2 linked regions of the Oryctolagus cuniculus genome follow. The protein of the gene in region 1 interacts with the protein of each later gene in a pairwise test. Links are inferred from orthologs where the notes say so. Each region holds a gene or a part of one and is shown in the gene's direction. Other genes may lie near its edges.

Evidence for each region.
Region 2: the proteins of RANBP9 (region 1) and MKLN1 interact in a two-hybrid assay, tested with the Homo sapiens proteins (2 studies listed by BioGRID). The link is inferred for Oryctolagus cuniculus from reciprocal best matches to the Homo sapiens genes RANBP9 and MKLN1.

The regions. Positions count from the first base shown.
Region 1 is NC_091436.1:157,007,596-157,015,627, forward strand, and holds part of RANBP9 (ran-binding protein 9), read left to right. Parts: intron 1-569; coding exon 570-691; intron 692-2,596; coding exon 2,597-2,748; intron 2,749-8,032. UniProt on the Homo sapiens protein: May act as scaffolding protein, and as adapter protein to couple membrane receptors to intracellular signaling pathways. Acts as a mediator of cell spreading and actin cytoskeleton rearrangement.
Region 2 is NC_091434.1:167,391,298-167,399,329, forward strand, and holds part of MKLN1 (muskelin), read left to right. Parts: intron 1-2,025; coding exon 2,026-2,168; intron 2,169-4,471; coding exon 4,472-4,560; intron 4,561-8,032. UniProt on the Homo sapiens protein: Component of the CTLH E3 ubiquitin-protein ligase complex that selectively accepts ubiquitin from UBE2H and mediates ubiquitination and subsequent proteasomal degradation of the transcription factor HBP1.

The DNA.
Region 1 (8,032 bases):
GTGCTGAGGTGGGGGAGAGGCTGAGGCCGCGGCAGTGCTGAAGCGTGTGTACTGGGAGAGAAGGTATGCTTGGAAGTAGTGAGCACAAGTGCCAGCGTGGGAAGACTTTAAGAAAAAAAAAGGTCCAGACACAGGTTGAAATGAAGGCAGGGAGGAGGTGAGGTGGGCTTCAGGAGTGAGATCTGTTTGTGTTTAGGAGTGAGATTTGACACTTAGGTGTTGGGGGAGGGCGAGGCTGGCCCAACAGGCTCTGGGGCGGCAGTCCTGATAGTTAGCAGGGATAGGCCTGTTGTGCCAGAGTGTTCCCTCTCCTGTTGGTGTCAAGTCAAAAACCACCACACAGTTAGCGCGTGTCTTCCTCCTTAGCTCCAGGAGGTGCAGGCTTGGTAAGCGTCGGCTGTGGATCTGGCTTTGAGTACACTTGAGATGTAACTACATACCTTTTTTGCAGATTGCTATTGCCTTGTGAAGTTAGTTTATACGTAGGTTAAGTAGTTGAGAAGTAATTTGTCTTACACCAAGCTGCAAGTATGATCTTTCTAAAACTAGGTTTGTTTTTTCATTTTCAGTAATGATGTAGACATGGAAACAGATCACTACTCCAATGGAGTTGGAGAGACTTCATCCAATGGTTTCCTAAATGGTAGCTCTAAACATGACCACGAAATGGAAGATTGTGACACCGAAATGGGTCTGCAGTGATATTTCTTACATTTTTAATAAAAATGATGGCTACAAGGTTATGTTTTTACTTGTACTGATGAGCATAAACCAAATTTAGTGATGTGTGTGCAGTAGTGTTGACAGTAATACATATTACTGGAACTCTCTCAGCTAGAGAGAGTAGTTATTTTTGAATTTCTTCTGAAGTCAAGTGCCAGTTTTCTTTGTTGAATTGGCTGTTCAGGCTTAATTTTAGGGTTATGCTTAATGAAGCTGTACTAATCACTGTTGAGCCTTAAGGGTTTTAAGGTCAGAGATAAATTTGTTACACTTACTTCAATATAGTCAGTAAGGCCAAGTGGGTCAAATGATTTTGCAAATTCAAAATTACTAAACTTTTTGTTAAATTCTAGTTAAATTGTTAAACAGTTCCTAACTCGTTCACTGCAAACATGAGTGACTGCCCAGTACTGTGTGTGGTATATTAGGTGCTGACGTATGACCTCCCCCAGCAGAGAAAAAATACACAGGACTCAGAGATAGACTAGCATGCAAACTTGTATTTTGTAGACAAATTATGTAGTAAACTGCGCCTTAAAGTCTTTCAGCAAACTTCCAGAAAATAATGAAAATTTATTGAAACCTACAAATTGCTTGTTGGAATTCCATGAAAATATGAATTTCTTGGCATTTTGAAATTAAAAGGTGTTTATTTACCAAAATTATTTGAAAAGCAGCCTCACCTCATTTTTCAGTGAGAGATCAGCAACTTCGGCTTCTTCAGGGCAGTTTAAGCGGAGTCATCGAGAGCAGGAGCTCTAGAGCAGATGACCTGCAGTGGTGTCTGCAACTCCACTTACTAGCTCTGTGACCTTGGACAGATCACTTAACCTGATCTGTGCCTCAGCATCTTCATCTGTAAAATGGGTATAATAACTGCCTCTTAGGTCACTGTGCAGGGTGAATCCGTGTGTTAACCTGTGGAAAGCAAACAAGCACAGTGTCAGCCGCCGTCATCTTCACAGCAGGGAGTTGTGTTACTCTGGATTTCCACTCACACTGCTGAGCAGTGACGTGATAGTTGTCACTCAAGATGTATAGCACAATTCTTTTCTAAAACCAGGATAGTTATTTTGATTATTATAATGTGTTATAATAATCTGTGTTTCTATTGGAATCATTTAGCCTCTCTTAGCTTCCAGGAACACTTTACTCCACCTCTGTTATATGTCAGTTAAAACAGCCTGAGAGGCAGTTACTACCTTCTCTCTTTTTCTTTGTTAATTTTGCTTAGTGTGGTTTTATTTTTTAATTTTTATTTTAAGATTTACTTATTTACTTGAGAGGCAGAGTTATAGAGAGAGGGAGAGACAGAGAGGTTTTCTATCCTCTGGTCCACTTCCCCAAATGGCCATAATGGCTGGAGCTGAGCCGATCTGAAGCCAGGAGCTTCCTCCAGATCTCCCACGTGGGTGCAGGGGCCCAAGCACCTGGGCCATCCTCCGCTGCTTTCCTAGACCACGAGCAGGGAGCTGGATCAGAAGAGGAGCAGCCGGGATTCGAGCTGGCAGCATACAGATGGATGCCTAGCCTACCATGGCACAGCGCCGGCCCCTCTTCATGTGGTTTTAGAGACTGGCCCCTGCCTCTTGGTGACACTCGTGAGACACTGGGTCCATCCTGACACTGCACGGGTAGCCCTGCCTCTGGGCTGCGCGCAGCACCCTGGATCCCAGACTCCCGAGCTCTGGATCCAGTGTGATGATTAGCTGCAGAGTTCCCTGCTCGGTTGAGCACGAGTCTGTGTGTGTAGGTGACATGTTGGGGAGTGCTTACTGACTGGGAGGTCTAAAATGGATCAGAAATGTGTGTTCATTTCTTACGTGTGTTCCATTCCATAAAGTAGTGAAGCACTTCTTTGTTTGGTTTGCAGAAGTTGACTCAAACCAGTTAAGACGCCAGTTATGTGGCGGAAGTCAGGCTGCCATTGAAAGAATGATCCACTTTGGAAGAGAGCTGCAAGCCATGAGTGAACAGCTGAGGAGGGAGTGTGGCAAGAACACAGCGAACAAGAAGATGTTGAAGGTGAGTGTTTCCCCGGCAAGAGCGGAAGGCGTCAGAGGAACAGGAGCACGCTCGTGTGAGGACGTCGGGATGTGCTAGCAGCTCTTGCTGTGGTCTTGGGCCGGCCGCTCCCTGTCCCCTGTGAGAGGGCCGGCTTGAGGGGTCGAAGCTGTGCTCCACTGGAAGGAGCATTTGACCCAACCAAAAAAAAACTAAATCCTGTTCCGTTACTTATCAGTGTTGTGGACCCTTTAATTCTTAGTTTTATTTTCTCAGCTGTAAACTGGTATAGTTAGTAGAACTCTGAGTGTACTGGTAAAGCTACACATTTGAGGTATTTGTATAATTTTAGTAAAAATGGTTAGTGCGTCTTCCGTGGCCGAGGCGGGGAGAGGTAGTCAGTCACCACATTCAGTGCTTCCTCTGCCGTGGAGCGCACGCTGAGATGGCATGCCTGGTGTCTGTGTATGTGGGGATTAGAATAGGCGAAAAGACACGCTGCCGTCTTCTGGCTGGATGGGCGTGATCAGGTCAGGTGAGATGTGAACAGTTCCCACGATTTGAGTGTTGTTCGGGCATCAGGAGTTTCCTCCTAACGTAAGTCAGCATGCAGGTAGCTGTAGAGAAGTTATAACCCTTTAAAAGTCGATTTGTTACAAAAGAAGCAAAAACTAGGAGTGGGTGACAGGTGTTGTGATCCTGAGGCACAGGGAATGGGAGGAAAGGGCACGCACGGCACCTGAGCCGAGGTCAGGAGAGCGGGGAGCGCCCGCCGGTGCCCTCGGCCTAAGGGGGGGGGGGGCTGCCCCCCCGCGTCTGCTCTCGGCTGGGGGGGGGGGTGTAATCACCACGTTCAGTTTAGCACAACAGCTGCTGTTTCTAATGGTGAAGCTGAGCTATCAAAGAAAGGCTGAGCTGTGCGTTCTGTGCCAAATGAAAAAGAATTAATGAAATAGTTTGTCGTTTAAAAGGGCAAATCAGATATTCATGTATCAGGAAATTTCCTTAAGGTCAAACTGTTGTTTTTTTTAAAGATCTGTTTATTTGAAAGGCAGAATTAGAAACAAGAGGGTCCTATAGGGTGATGTAGCGGCTAAGGCCGCCGCCTGCAGTGCTGACATCCCATTTGGGTGTTGGTTTGTGTCCCAGCTGCTCCACTTCTGATCCAGCTCTCTGCTGTGGCCTGGGAAAGCAGCGGAAGATGGCCCAAGTGCTTGGGCCCCTGCACCCCCATGGGAGAGCTGGAAGAGGCTCCTGGCCTTGGATCGGCACATCTTCGGCCATTGCAGCCAATTTGAGGGTGAACCAGCGGATGGAAGACCTCCCCCTTCCCCTCTTCTCCCCCTCTCGCCTCTCTGTGACTCTCCCTTTCAAATAAATAAATGTATCTTAAAAAAAGAACAACGAAACGAGAAATCTTCCATCTGCTGGGTCACTCCCCAAATACCCACAACAGCCAGCGCTGTGGAGGCCAAAGCCAGGAACCTCAGCTGAGTCTCCCACATTGATGGCAGGGACTCAAGCACTTGGGCCCTCTTCCACTGCTCTCCCAGGAGCATTAGCAGGCAGCTGGGACTAGAACTGGTTCCAGTATGGGACGCTGGCATTGCAGGCCGTGGCTTAACCTACTGTGCCACAGTGCTGGCCCTAGACTGTACTTAACAGTCTCCCCCGTGTAGATCTTTCTCTGAAGTATGTATCTCCAGTGTACAGCATCAGATAGAATACGCTTATCAAATTCATTTGTAAAGTATTACTAGTTTTTCCAAATTAAAGATTTTGATCACTGTGTAACTCTGTAGAACTTTTCTCTAGTATCAGGAAGAAAAAACTTAACACTTGGGTTCTTTATTATTTTAGGAGACTAGAATGATCCCTTTGGGAAACTCAGTACTTCTTTGTTATGTTCTGAGCATACTTTAGGGCAGTGATTCTCAAATATTTTGGTGTCTGAAACCTCTAAAAATTGATTCCCAAAGAGTTTTTGTTAAATGGTTTACATTTATTGATACCGCATTAGAAATTAAAACTTGTGATGGGTATTTGCCCTAGTGGTTAAGACACCTGTGTCTCGTGTTGAAGAGTGAATTTGGCCTGCGGCACCGGCACCCCGGGTTCTAGTCCAGGTTGGAGCGCCGGATTCTGTCCCGGTTGCCCCTCTTCCTGTCCAGCTCTCTGCTGTGGCCTGGGAAGGCAGTGGAGGATGGCCCAAGTGCTTGGGCCCTGCACCCGCATGGGAGACCAGGCGGAGCACCTGGCTCCTGGCTTCAGATCTTCATTGGAGATGAACCAACGGAAAAGGAAGACCTTTCTCTCTCTCTCTCTCACTGTTCACTCTGCCTGTCAAAAAAAAAAAAAAAGAATTTGAATCCTGGCTGTGCTCCCAGCCCCAGCTTCCTGCAGATGTGTACTGTGGGAGGCAGCAGCGGGTGTACTGAAGGAGCTGAGTCCTTGTACCCATGTGGGAGACCTGGATGGAGTTCGTGGCTGGGCTTTGGCCTGGCCCAACCCTGGCCATTGTGGGCATTTGAGGAGTGAACCAGCAGATCGGAGTTCTGTCTGCCACTCAAATAAGTGAATAAACAAAAATTAAGAAAAAGTTAAAATTCTAAAATCTTTAATTCATCCCAAACTAAATCCATTAAACCACCAATATGTAATGATCTTCCCCCAAAATAAAAGAGCAGCAGCATTGTTTCATATTTTTGCACATCTTTTTAAAAAGATTTACTTGTTTGAAAGGCAGAGTTAGGAGAGGGAGAGATTGAGAGAGAGAGACGGATCTTTCATCCACTGGTGGTTCATTCCCCAAATGGCTACAGCAGCCAAGGCTGGGCCAGGCTGAAAACAGGAGCTTGGAACTTCATCTGGGTTCCCTTGTGGGTGGGAAGAGTCCAAGTCTCTCTGCTACTTTGCCAGGCGCATTCCCAAGGAGCTGGATTGGAAGTGGAGCAGCCATGACTGGAACCAGCACCCATCTGGGATGCCAGTGGTGGCTTAACCTGCTGGGCCATGCTACCAGCCCCTGCTTGGCTCCATAGACGATCAGCTGGACTCTGGTTCCTACTTCTGCGTTCAGTTGTGAGATCACATAGCCTCTGGGAAAGCCCACTGTGTAGTTATGAGGGAATGAAAGTGAGGAAGAAGGGAAAGCTTAGTAGTATTATAAAAATAGTGTTGACCTCACAGACCCCAGGAAGGATCCTGCACTACCCAGGGGCCCCTGGCCCTACTTTGAGGAATTGTTTTAGAGGATATTGGGGAATATGAATGTTTCAACCATCGATTTTGGTTTTCTTGTTAAAATTTTATGCTGAGCAAGGTGAAGAAATCTGTGACTTAAGTAGTACCTTTGAACATTGAAGATCTAACTCTGTCAGCTTATTCTTTGATTCTCATTCGTATATAACTCAGAAAATGATGTTACAGGGCCAGTTCTCAAAGGTACTCCTTGATTAAACACCAAAGTATGTGAACGTATGATGTTGTAATTTAAGAATGCAGATGGCTTCGAGTGTGCATCTCTGACAGCTAGGCACCTGCAGCCATGCTCAGAGGCTTTCTTGATATTCTGAGCTGCCTGCCTTCTCCAACGCCTGATGCAGAGAGGGAGAAGAAAAGAAAGTGACGCACAGCACAAGGGGGCGATCGGAGGGCAGCAGAGATGATGTTTTTGCTGTAGGTGAAGATTAGAAATTACTATTTATTTTTCTGGGCAGGTCATGTGATTTTTTTTAATCTTGAATGTTTTGGGATTTGCATAATCTTCTGACTCATGCATTCATGTATGACTCCCATGACAGGGATGTTCTGAGAAACGTGTTGTTAGGCAGTTTCATCCTTGTGCAGACGTCCTAGATGTGCTTGTGCAGGCAGATGGGAGACAGCCGGCTACAAACCTGGGCCCTGCCGTGCATCCTGCTGCTCCTGGGGCCCTGCCCAGCAGTCACGCAAGAGACAGGTGCATCTGTGTCGGGCGCTGCTGCCGAGAGAATGTTACAGTCAAGGTGGTTGTTTTTCATAGACACGGGGGTGCGCTCTAAAAAGTCTGCTGTAGCAGGTTTGTGTCAAGTAGAAGTTTCCACACCTCATGGTAGGAGCCACCCTTCTGTGCGTCTGCACCGGCTCCACGCGGACGGGAACAATGCACTGTGCTCTGGGAGGAGTTTTCAGTTCCATCTTGGCCTTCAGGACGGACTTTGTAGCTGGGGTGGTGTGGTTAAGGAGAAGACGGCATTCACTGAGTTGTTTCACCAGAAGTTAGGCTTGCCTTTGCGCCCCTTGGTGCAGAGCAGCCCTGGGGAGCAGAGGGCCGGGGGCTGCCGCAGGTCGCAGCCAGCTGTGCTGACTTCGTGTTCGCCCTTCTAGTGTGTCGCCAGCCTTCCTTTCCTGCTGTCTCCACTTCTCTTGCCTTCCTGACTCGGCTTGTTCAGCGGCGAGTTAGTGAGCTTAGGCAGGTGGGCCCGGCCTGCCAGGAGCTGCTCGCCCAGCGAGTGAGGCAGCAGGGCCAGAGCGCCAGCCTGCCTGGAAACTGTTCCAGGTTTTAAGCCAAGCATGAGCAGAGTTTGAGAATCTACCTAAAAGATGGCATGTTTCCTTCAAATTATTTAATATTTTTCTTTTTAAACAAATAACTCATAATGCAGCAGTATCAGACATTTTCATTTTGTGCCTTCACCCCCATGCACATATATTTTATGCACAGTGACACTATCTTTTTTTGAAAGATTTGTTTATTTGAAAAGGCAGAATAGAGGCAGAGAGAGAAAGAGAGCTCAGTCCTCCCTCCGCTGGTTCACTCCTCACATAGCTGCAGCATCCTGGGCTGGGCAGATCCAAAGCCGGGAGCTTCATCCAGGTCTCCCACGTGGCTGGGAGGGGCCCAGAAACATAGGCCACCCTCTGCCTCTTTTCCCAGGGCGTTGGCAGGGAGCCGGGCTGGAAGTGACGACAGCCAGGACCCAAACCTGTGCCCACACGGGATGCCAGCACTGCAGGTAACAGCTTTACCCACTATGCCACAACACCAGCTCCTGTATTGCTCATATTTATAGGCATAAAAATGTTTATAAACAACACAAAATACAGACAGATGCGACAGACACCCTTCCCAGCTCAGAAAGCAGGCATGCAAATGCTGTAGAAACCAGAAACCTGGCTGGCACCGCGGCTCACTTGGCTAATCCTCCGCCTGCGGCACCGGCACCCTGGGTTCTAGTTCCTGTCAGGGTGCCGGTTCTGTCCCAGTTACTCCTCTTCCAGTCCAGCTCTCTGCTGTGGCCCAGGAAGGCAGTGGATGATGGCC
Region 2 (8,032 bases), on another chromosome or scaffold:
GCTGCTTTCCCAGACACATTAGCAGGGAGCTGGATCAGAAGTGGAGCAGCTGGGGCTCAAGCTGTTGCCCACCATATGGGACGCTGGTATTGTGGGTGATAGCTTTACTCGTTATACCACATTGCCAAGCTGCCCTCTCCCCCTTTTAAAATTTATTTTATTTATTTGGAAGGCAAGGTTAGAGGGCGAGAGAGGGAGATACAGAGGGATCTTCCATCTGGTGGTTCACTCCCCAAAAGGCCACAGCAGCCTGGGCTGGGCTAGGCCGAAGCCAGAAGCTTCATCCAGGTCTCCCACATGGGTTCAGGGGCCGAAGAACTTGGGTCATTTGCTGCTGCTTTCCTAGTTGCATTAGCAAGCAGCTGGGCCAGAATAGAAAATTTAATTAGCAAGCAGCTGGATTGGAAGCTCAACAGCCAGGTCTTGAACTGGTGCCCATATGGAATGCTAGTGTTGCAGGTGACAGCTTACTCCACAATGCTGGTCCCATGATGTTTAATCTTCTTTAGAGAAAGAGCTATTCATGTCTTTTGTCTATTTTTAAATTGAGTCAATTGTCTTTCTGCTATTGGTTTTGAAGTTTTAGTGCTTATGTTTAGGATGTTGGTCTTGGCTCAGTTTTGATTCATTTTGAGTTAGTTTTTGTGCATGGGAATAGGTGTAGGACCGCTGACTGTTATCACCTGCAGTACCCATTAGCATTATGAAACATGAAATCTCTGCAACAGACGTCTCAGTTGGTTTTCTGGGTAGCTTTATCCTCACGTAGTCAATCAGTGGTAATTTCCTGCTTAAGCTTTTAATTGAAAACTGTCTGCTAATGTAAAATGTTTTCCCTAATTAACTGATCCTGTTTTATCCAGTGTGTGGTAGGGAAACTTGAGCTACATTAGACATCTATAGTAGGTCTGGATTGTTTAATTTGTAAAATTGTCAGGGGTGGTTAGTAACTCTTGAAGTTTATTTGTAGGTTTTAGGTTTTGTCACTGGCTTAGAGCATTGATTTAGTTATTGAAGTGTAGTTCATGGGAACATGAACTTGTTATTTTTGCATTCTAATCTTGCTTTATTTGATAATTAATTCCTTGGCTATGTTACTTACTTATTGAATACTGTTCTGTGGTTAGAAATTCTCACTTGGTTAATCCTCCGCCTGCAGCACTGGCATCCCATATGGGTGCTGGGTTCTAGTCCCGGTTGCTCCTCTTGCAGTCCAGCTCTCTGCTGTGGCCCAGGAAGGCAGTGGAGGATGGCCCAGGTGCTTGGGCCCTGTACCCGCATGGGAGACCAGGAGGAGGCACCTGGCTCCTGGATTCAGATCGGCACTGCACTGGCCGTAGTGGCCATTTAGGGGGTGAACCAACGGAAGGAAGACCTTTCTCTCTGTCTCTCTCTCTCACTGTCTATAACTCTACCTGTCAAATAAAAAAAAAAAAAGAAATTTTTCCTCACCTTTAATCTGCAGTATTCAGGATGATACAGTTTCTGGGATTTACTAGATTAAACAAATGGGTGAGTTGTTTGGTATATTAGTTAGGTCACCATTTCAGACTCCTGCATCCCGAGTTGGAGTACCTGGTTCAATCCTTGCTTCCAGTACGGCTTCCTGCTAATGGGCACCTTCGAATAGCTTAAGTAATAGCTTAAGTACTTGGGTCCCTGCCACCCACACGGGAGACCTGGATTCAGTTCTGGGCTCCTTCCTGGTTTTGCCTTGACAGCTCAGGTTGTTAAGAGCATTTGGGGAGTGAACCATTAGATGAGCCATCTTTCTTCGACTGTTTATGTCTCTCTGCCTTTCAAAGAAAATTAAAACAAAGAAATTGAAAAAAAAAAAAGTGGTGATTGTGTGGTAGCCTTTATAGGACTCTTGTGTTTTATTCTTTACTTTTCAAAAAATAATCTTCCAGTGGAGAGGGGTCCAGATAGACCTTCTGTTTAATTGTCAAGTGTTTTAACTTTTAGAGTTGTCTAATTATTTGTTTTAAACAGAGGAAGATATGATTTGGTTGTTTCTTTTTTTAGTATTTGATTCTGAAGCTTGAAAGGCCTGCTATAGTTCAGAATATCACATTTGGAAAATATGAGAAAACTCACGTCTGCAACTTGAAGAAATTCAAAGTCTTTGGTGGAATGAATGAAGAAAATATGACAGAGCTGTTGTCTAGGTGAGTTGTGGTTGTGAGGAGAGAAGTTGTCTTCTAAACAAACTGCAGTTCTAGTTTCATCTCTTTCAAAAGAGAAAAGAATATTTCTCCTATTTTTTAATACTGTGGCTTAACTTTTTTTTTCCCTTTAAACTACTGGGTACTCAGTGTTATCAAGCAAAAATGAATAAAATTTTTTGATATTTTTTATTTTCAATTGTATTTTTAAAATGTTAATGACTTGAGCTTTAATGAAAACCTTTGCTATAAAAATATAGTCTCTATCCAAAACGTTGGTTCACTGCTGTAATCCAGAAGTAATCTTCTAAGAGTTTATTGTAAGTGGGGCACTGAAAAAAGGAAGTTCTTGTAAATGGAAAAGCTACATGATTTAACATAGTGCTTGCTGCAAGGAGGGAGGAGGAGCTCAGGAACCATCAGAAATAAAGGTGTTAATTTGCCCCTCAGAGAGTGAAAAATCATATAGCAGTGGAATATGCAAATAAAACCATGCAGATATAGAATATATTTGTGGGGCCAGCACTGTGATGTAGCGGGTAAAGCTGCCCAGCACATCTTATGTGGGTGCTGGCTGGTTTGAGTCCCGGCTTCTGATGCAGCCCTCTGCCATGGCCTGGGAAAGCAGTGGAAGATGGCCCAAGTCCTTGGGCCCCTGTACCCCCACGAGAAGACCCGGTGGAAGCTCCTGGCTCCTGGCTTTGGATCGGCACAGCTCCTGCTGTTGTGGCCAGTTGGGGAGTGAACCAGTGGATGGAAGGCCTCTCCTTTCTGTGTGTAATTCTGACTTTCAAATACATAAATAAATCTTTAAAAAAATATATATTTGTGACATGGTAGATCCCATTAACTCAGTACTTTAAGTAAATATTACTCCAATACTGCATTGATTTTAGTCAGGAAGTATGTTAGGGCATAATCAGAAGGTGACTTTCACATTTCAAAAGTTGGATTTCAAAAAGTTGAAAATGTATAATTTAAAGCTAAGTTTATTTTGGTGAAAAATTAAAAAGAAAAATTCAGGCATAATGTTATCACAGTATACATTTTCCAGGAAGACTTTTAAGACTCCTTGTATGCAAGGAATTAAAAATTTACTGGCACCAAAATGTTTTTAAAGATTTATTTATTTGAAAGGTAGAGTTACAGAGAGAGGTAGAGACAGAGAGGTCTTCAATCGATTGGTTCACTCCCCAAATGGCCACATTGGCCGAAACTGAGCCGATCTGGAGCCAGGAGCTCTTTTTGGGTCTCTCACGTAGGTACAGGGGCCCACTGCTTTCTCAGGTGTGTTAGGAGGGTGCTGGATTGGAAGTAGAGCACCTGAAACTAAAACCGGTGCCCATATGGGATGCCCACACTGCAGGCCAGGGCTTTAACATGCTGCGCCACAGTGCCGGCCCCCAAAATAAGCTGCCTTTTTTTTTTTTTTTTAAAGATTTATTTATTTATTTGAAAGGCAGAGTTACAGAGAGGCAGAGGCAGGGGCAGAGAGAGAGAAAGAGAGGTCTTCCATCCATTGGTTCACTCCCCGGGTGACTGCAGTGGCAGGAGCTGTGCCGATCCAAAGCCAGGAGCCAGGAGCTTCTGGGTCTCCCACGCAGATGCAGGGGCCCAAGGACTTGGGCTATCTTTTACTGCTTTCCCAGGCCATAGCAGAGAGCTGGATCGAACGTGGAGCAGCTGAGACTCAAACTGGCCGTCCATATGGGTTGCTGGCACTACAGGCGGTGGCTTTACCTGATACACCACAACACTGGTCCCCAAAATACTCTTAATTCCATTTTCTGCTAACTTATGATGTATCCTTGTTTATATGTCAATTCTAATTGTTTAAGTGGAGTAGTGCTGTGAGTTCCTTTAGGATAAAGCATGTTTGTCTTTGAATTTTTGTTTAAAAGGAACATTAACATCCCATTCAGAAACAAATGATTTAATTCTTAGACAAATTCTCATATTTGACTTTTAAGTTGTCAGTTATCAATGTGACTTTTTTTTTTAGTTTTTCTTCTTACCACCTGAAACTTCAGTTATACATTAATGACACTAGGTCCTGTAATACATGTCTGTGCACTGTTGCCAACTCGTTAATACTCAGTGTTTTTCATTAGCTGTCAAATAATTAATAGAATATAGTTATGATGCAGTTCATTAGAATATAAAAGTTTTAACTTTATTTGCATGTTGGACCACTTAGTCATTTATTGTGAGCATTGTTTTAAACTGAAAATTTGAGTATGACATCTATATTTTAGTGTATTTCTTAATTATGAAGTCAGATTTAATAACTTTTTTTTCTCTTTCAGTGGCTTAAAGAATGATTATAACAAAGAAACATTCACCTTGAAGCATAAAATTGATGAACAGATGTTCCCTTGTCGATTCATAAAAATAGGTAAGGTTTTAGCATTCAGGAATGGAAAAATTTTTTTTTATATCATCAGTCAGGAAACTATAGCCCATGGACCAAATCCTGCAGGCCTCCTCTTTGTTTAAAATAAAAAACTATGGGAGCACTGCTCTGTTGGCTTGTTTATGTTACCTGTGGTTATTTTGTGCTGTAAAGGCAGAACTAGCTGCAAGAGTTCAGTAGTTACTCACTAAGCTCAAAAGGGTTGCTATTTGATCCTTTACAGAAAATGTTGTTAGTTTTAAAACTTTAGCATTCTAAAACGAAAACCAAAATATTGAAATGTTTCTTAAGGTAGTATATTATGGTTACTTTTTATTATTTCTTTTTTTATTGAAATATTGGTCATATTCACTAAATTCATTTCATGACTTACTAGTGTGTTGTAAACTGCTGTTTGACCATTACTACTTTAATGAAAGGATAACCTTAAAGGCCCAAACCTCACATATTGATTTGGTGGAATAGAGTGTTTGCTAGTCTGTCAAGAGCCGTTCTGTTCTATCTTGATGCAGTAATTCAGTTGTGCAGAAGGAATACCTGAAGTCTTATTGAAGATTGCTTAGAGAGGGAAAGCCATCTTGGAAATAGTTGGGTGTCCAGTGTGTTACTTTCTTTTGTAACTGTAATTTCTTTTGTTAAATAATTGTAAATAAAATCTGTTTCCTGTTCTATTTAAGAATTTGTGAGCAAGCAAATTTTTTGGATAAATTTAACTCTTGGTTATGTACTTCTTCTGTGCTAGTGAGTAACTGTTTCTTTAGTGTTTGGATCACCCAGTTCCTCCAGTGTCTTTCGTAGCTTTAATAATTCTGTGATCTTTTATTTCAGATATATAAGCAGTGGAAATTAGAACCCTTCCCAGCTCTTTCTGTTAGCCTTTTATTTTATTTTGGTGAATTTTTGCTTGTGCATTTTTAATTTCCCCCAACTTTATTAAAGTCTAATTAGTGAATATAATAATTTTATATGTTTATGATGTGTAGTATAATTTTGTGATGTAGGCATACATTGGGAAGCTGATTAACATATCCTTCAACACACATTTTTTGTAGTGAGGCTTTTTTTTTTTTTTTTGACAGGCAGAGTGGACAGTGAGAGACAGATAGAGAGAAAGGTTGGTTCACCCTCCAATGGCCACCTCGGCTGGCGCACCGCACTGATCCGATGGCAGGAGCCAGGTGCTTCTCCTGGTCTCCCGTGGGGTGCAGGGCCCAAGCACTTGGGCCATCCTCCACTGTACCCCCTGGCCACAGCAGAGAGCTGGCCTGGAAGAGAGGCAACCGGGACAGAATCCGGTGCCCCGACCAGGACTAGAACCCGGTGTGCCGGCGCCGCAAGGCAGAGGATTAGCCTAGTGAGCCGTGGCACTGGCCTAATGTGGTGAGGCATTTAAGTTCTACTTTCTGAGCAGTTTTCAAGTATGCTGTACAGTAGAGCTCTAGCACTCACTTACCCTGAAATCTTATCTCTTTTACCAACATTTCCCTCTTCTCAGCAGCATTCTAACTGTAGAACACAATATCTTTTCTTTTTTTTTTGACAGAGTGGACAGTGAGAGAGAGAGACATAGAGAAAGTTTTCCTTTTCCATTGGTTTACCCCCCAGTGGCCGCTATGGCCGGAGCTACACTGATCCTAAGCCAGGAGCCTGGTGCTTCCTTCTGGTCTCCCATGCAGGTGCAGGGCCCAAGCACTCGGGCCATCCTCCACTGCCCTCCTGGGCCACAGCAGAGAGCTGGACAGGAAGAGGACCAACTGGGACTAGAACTCTGGGGGCCGGCGCCGCAGGCGAAGGATTAGCCTATTGAGCCACGGCGCTGGCTGATATCTTTTCTTGACCTGGAGTTAATCTTATAGTATTCAGGCAGGATGTTAATTGAAGCTTTCCAGGTAATTATAGCCACTGATTAGCTCATTTAATATTTAGGACACTACTATTTAGGTAAATTTGTATTTCTTTTCTGTTAAAAAATGTTAATACTGGTCTGTAGTCTATTTGCTTTTCAACCCCTTTTTAACATCTCTTGATAATTTTTGTTTGAAAGTTATGTAAGCAAAATGTGAAACTAAAAGCCTGTGTGTCAGGTTGGCATCTTTGGTTTATCACCATATTTACTGAAAAAAAAAAAAATCAACTATTGGAGCAGGTGTTTGGCACAGTGGTTAAGTTGCTGCTTGTGATGCCTTAGCCCATATGCCTGGGTTTGGATCCCAGTTCCTCTGCTTCTGCTCCAGCGTCCTGCCAGTGCACACTCTAGGTGATTGCAGGAGTGGCTCGAACACTGCCATCCAAGTGGGCAGCCCTTGCTGGAGGTTCTGCTTCAGCCTGGCCCAGCTCTGCTACGTAGTCATTTGGAGAGTAAACCAGAAAATGCAGGAGATCTTGATCTTTCTCTCTATCTCTCTGTCCCTCCCTCCCCATCACCTTGCCTTTCATATAAAATGCAAAGAAATAAAAATTAAGAAGATGTCAGAACACAGTATACAGAAAGTTTACAAATATTCACAGAAACTGTTCTGCCAAAGGGCATGAATTATGGTAGCTGTCTTTGGTGGTGGTTTAATGCAGATATTTGTTGAACTGGGCAGGCTAAATTGTTACAGTTAGAAGAAGAAATGTGTTTGAATAATTAATATTTACATTCTGTAGTGATATATTTGAAAGATCTTGCTTTATTTAAAAAGAATCTTGTCTTTTTTTTTTTAAGAAAGCTTTTATTTAATGAATGCAAATTTCATAGTTACAGCATTAGGGATAAAGTGGTCCCCCCCCCGCCCACCCTCCCCCACTCCTGTCCCACCTCTATTCTCTCTCCCATCCCATTCTTCATTAAGATTCGTTTTTAATTAACTTTATATACAGAAGACCATTTTATACTAAGTAAAGGTTTCCACAGTTTGCACCCCACACAGACACACAAAGTATAAAGTAATGTTTGGAAACAACTTTTACCGTTAATTCTCATAGTATAGTGCTTTAAGGACAGAGGTCCTACATGGGGAGCAAGTGCACAGTGACTCCTGTTGTTGATTTAACAATTGGCACTCTTATTTATGACATTAGTGATCACCCGAGGCTCTTGACATGAATTGCTATGGAAGCTTTTTGTGTCTATAAACTCTGTCAGTATTGACAGGACCATAAGCAAAGTGAAAGTTCTCTCCTCCCTTCAGAGAAAGGTACCTCCTTCTTTGATGGCCCCTTCTTTCCATTGGGATCTCACTCACAGAGATCCTTCATGTAGATTTTTTTTAAAAGATTTATTTTATTTATTTGAAAGAGTTACAGAGAGAGACAGGGAGAGAGGTCTTCCATCCACTGGTTCACTCCCCAGATGGCTGCAGCGGCTGGAGCTGCACCCATCCAAAGCCAGGAGCCAGGAGCTTCTTCTGGGTCTCCCAAACGGGTGCAGGGGCCCAAAGACTTGGGCCATCTTCTGCTTTCCCAGGCCATA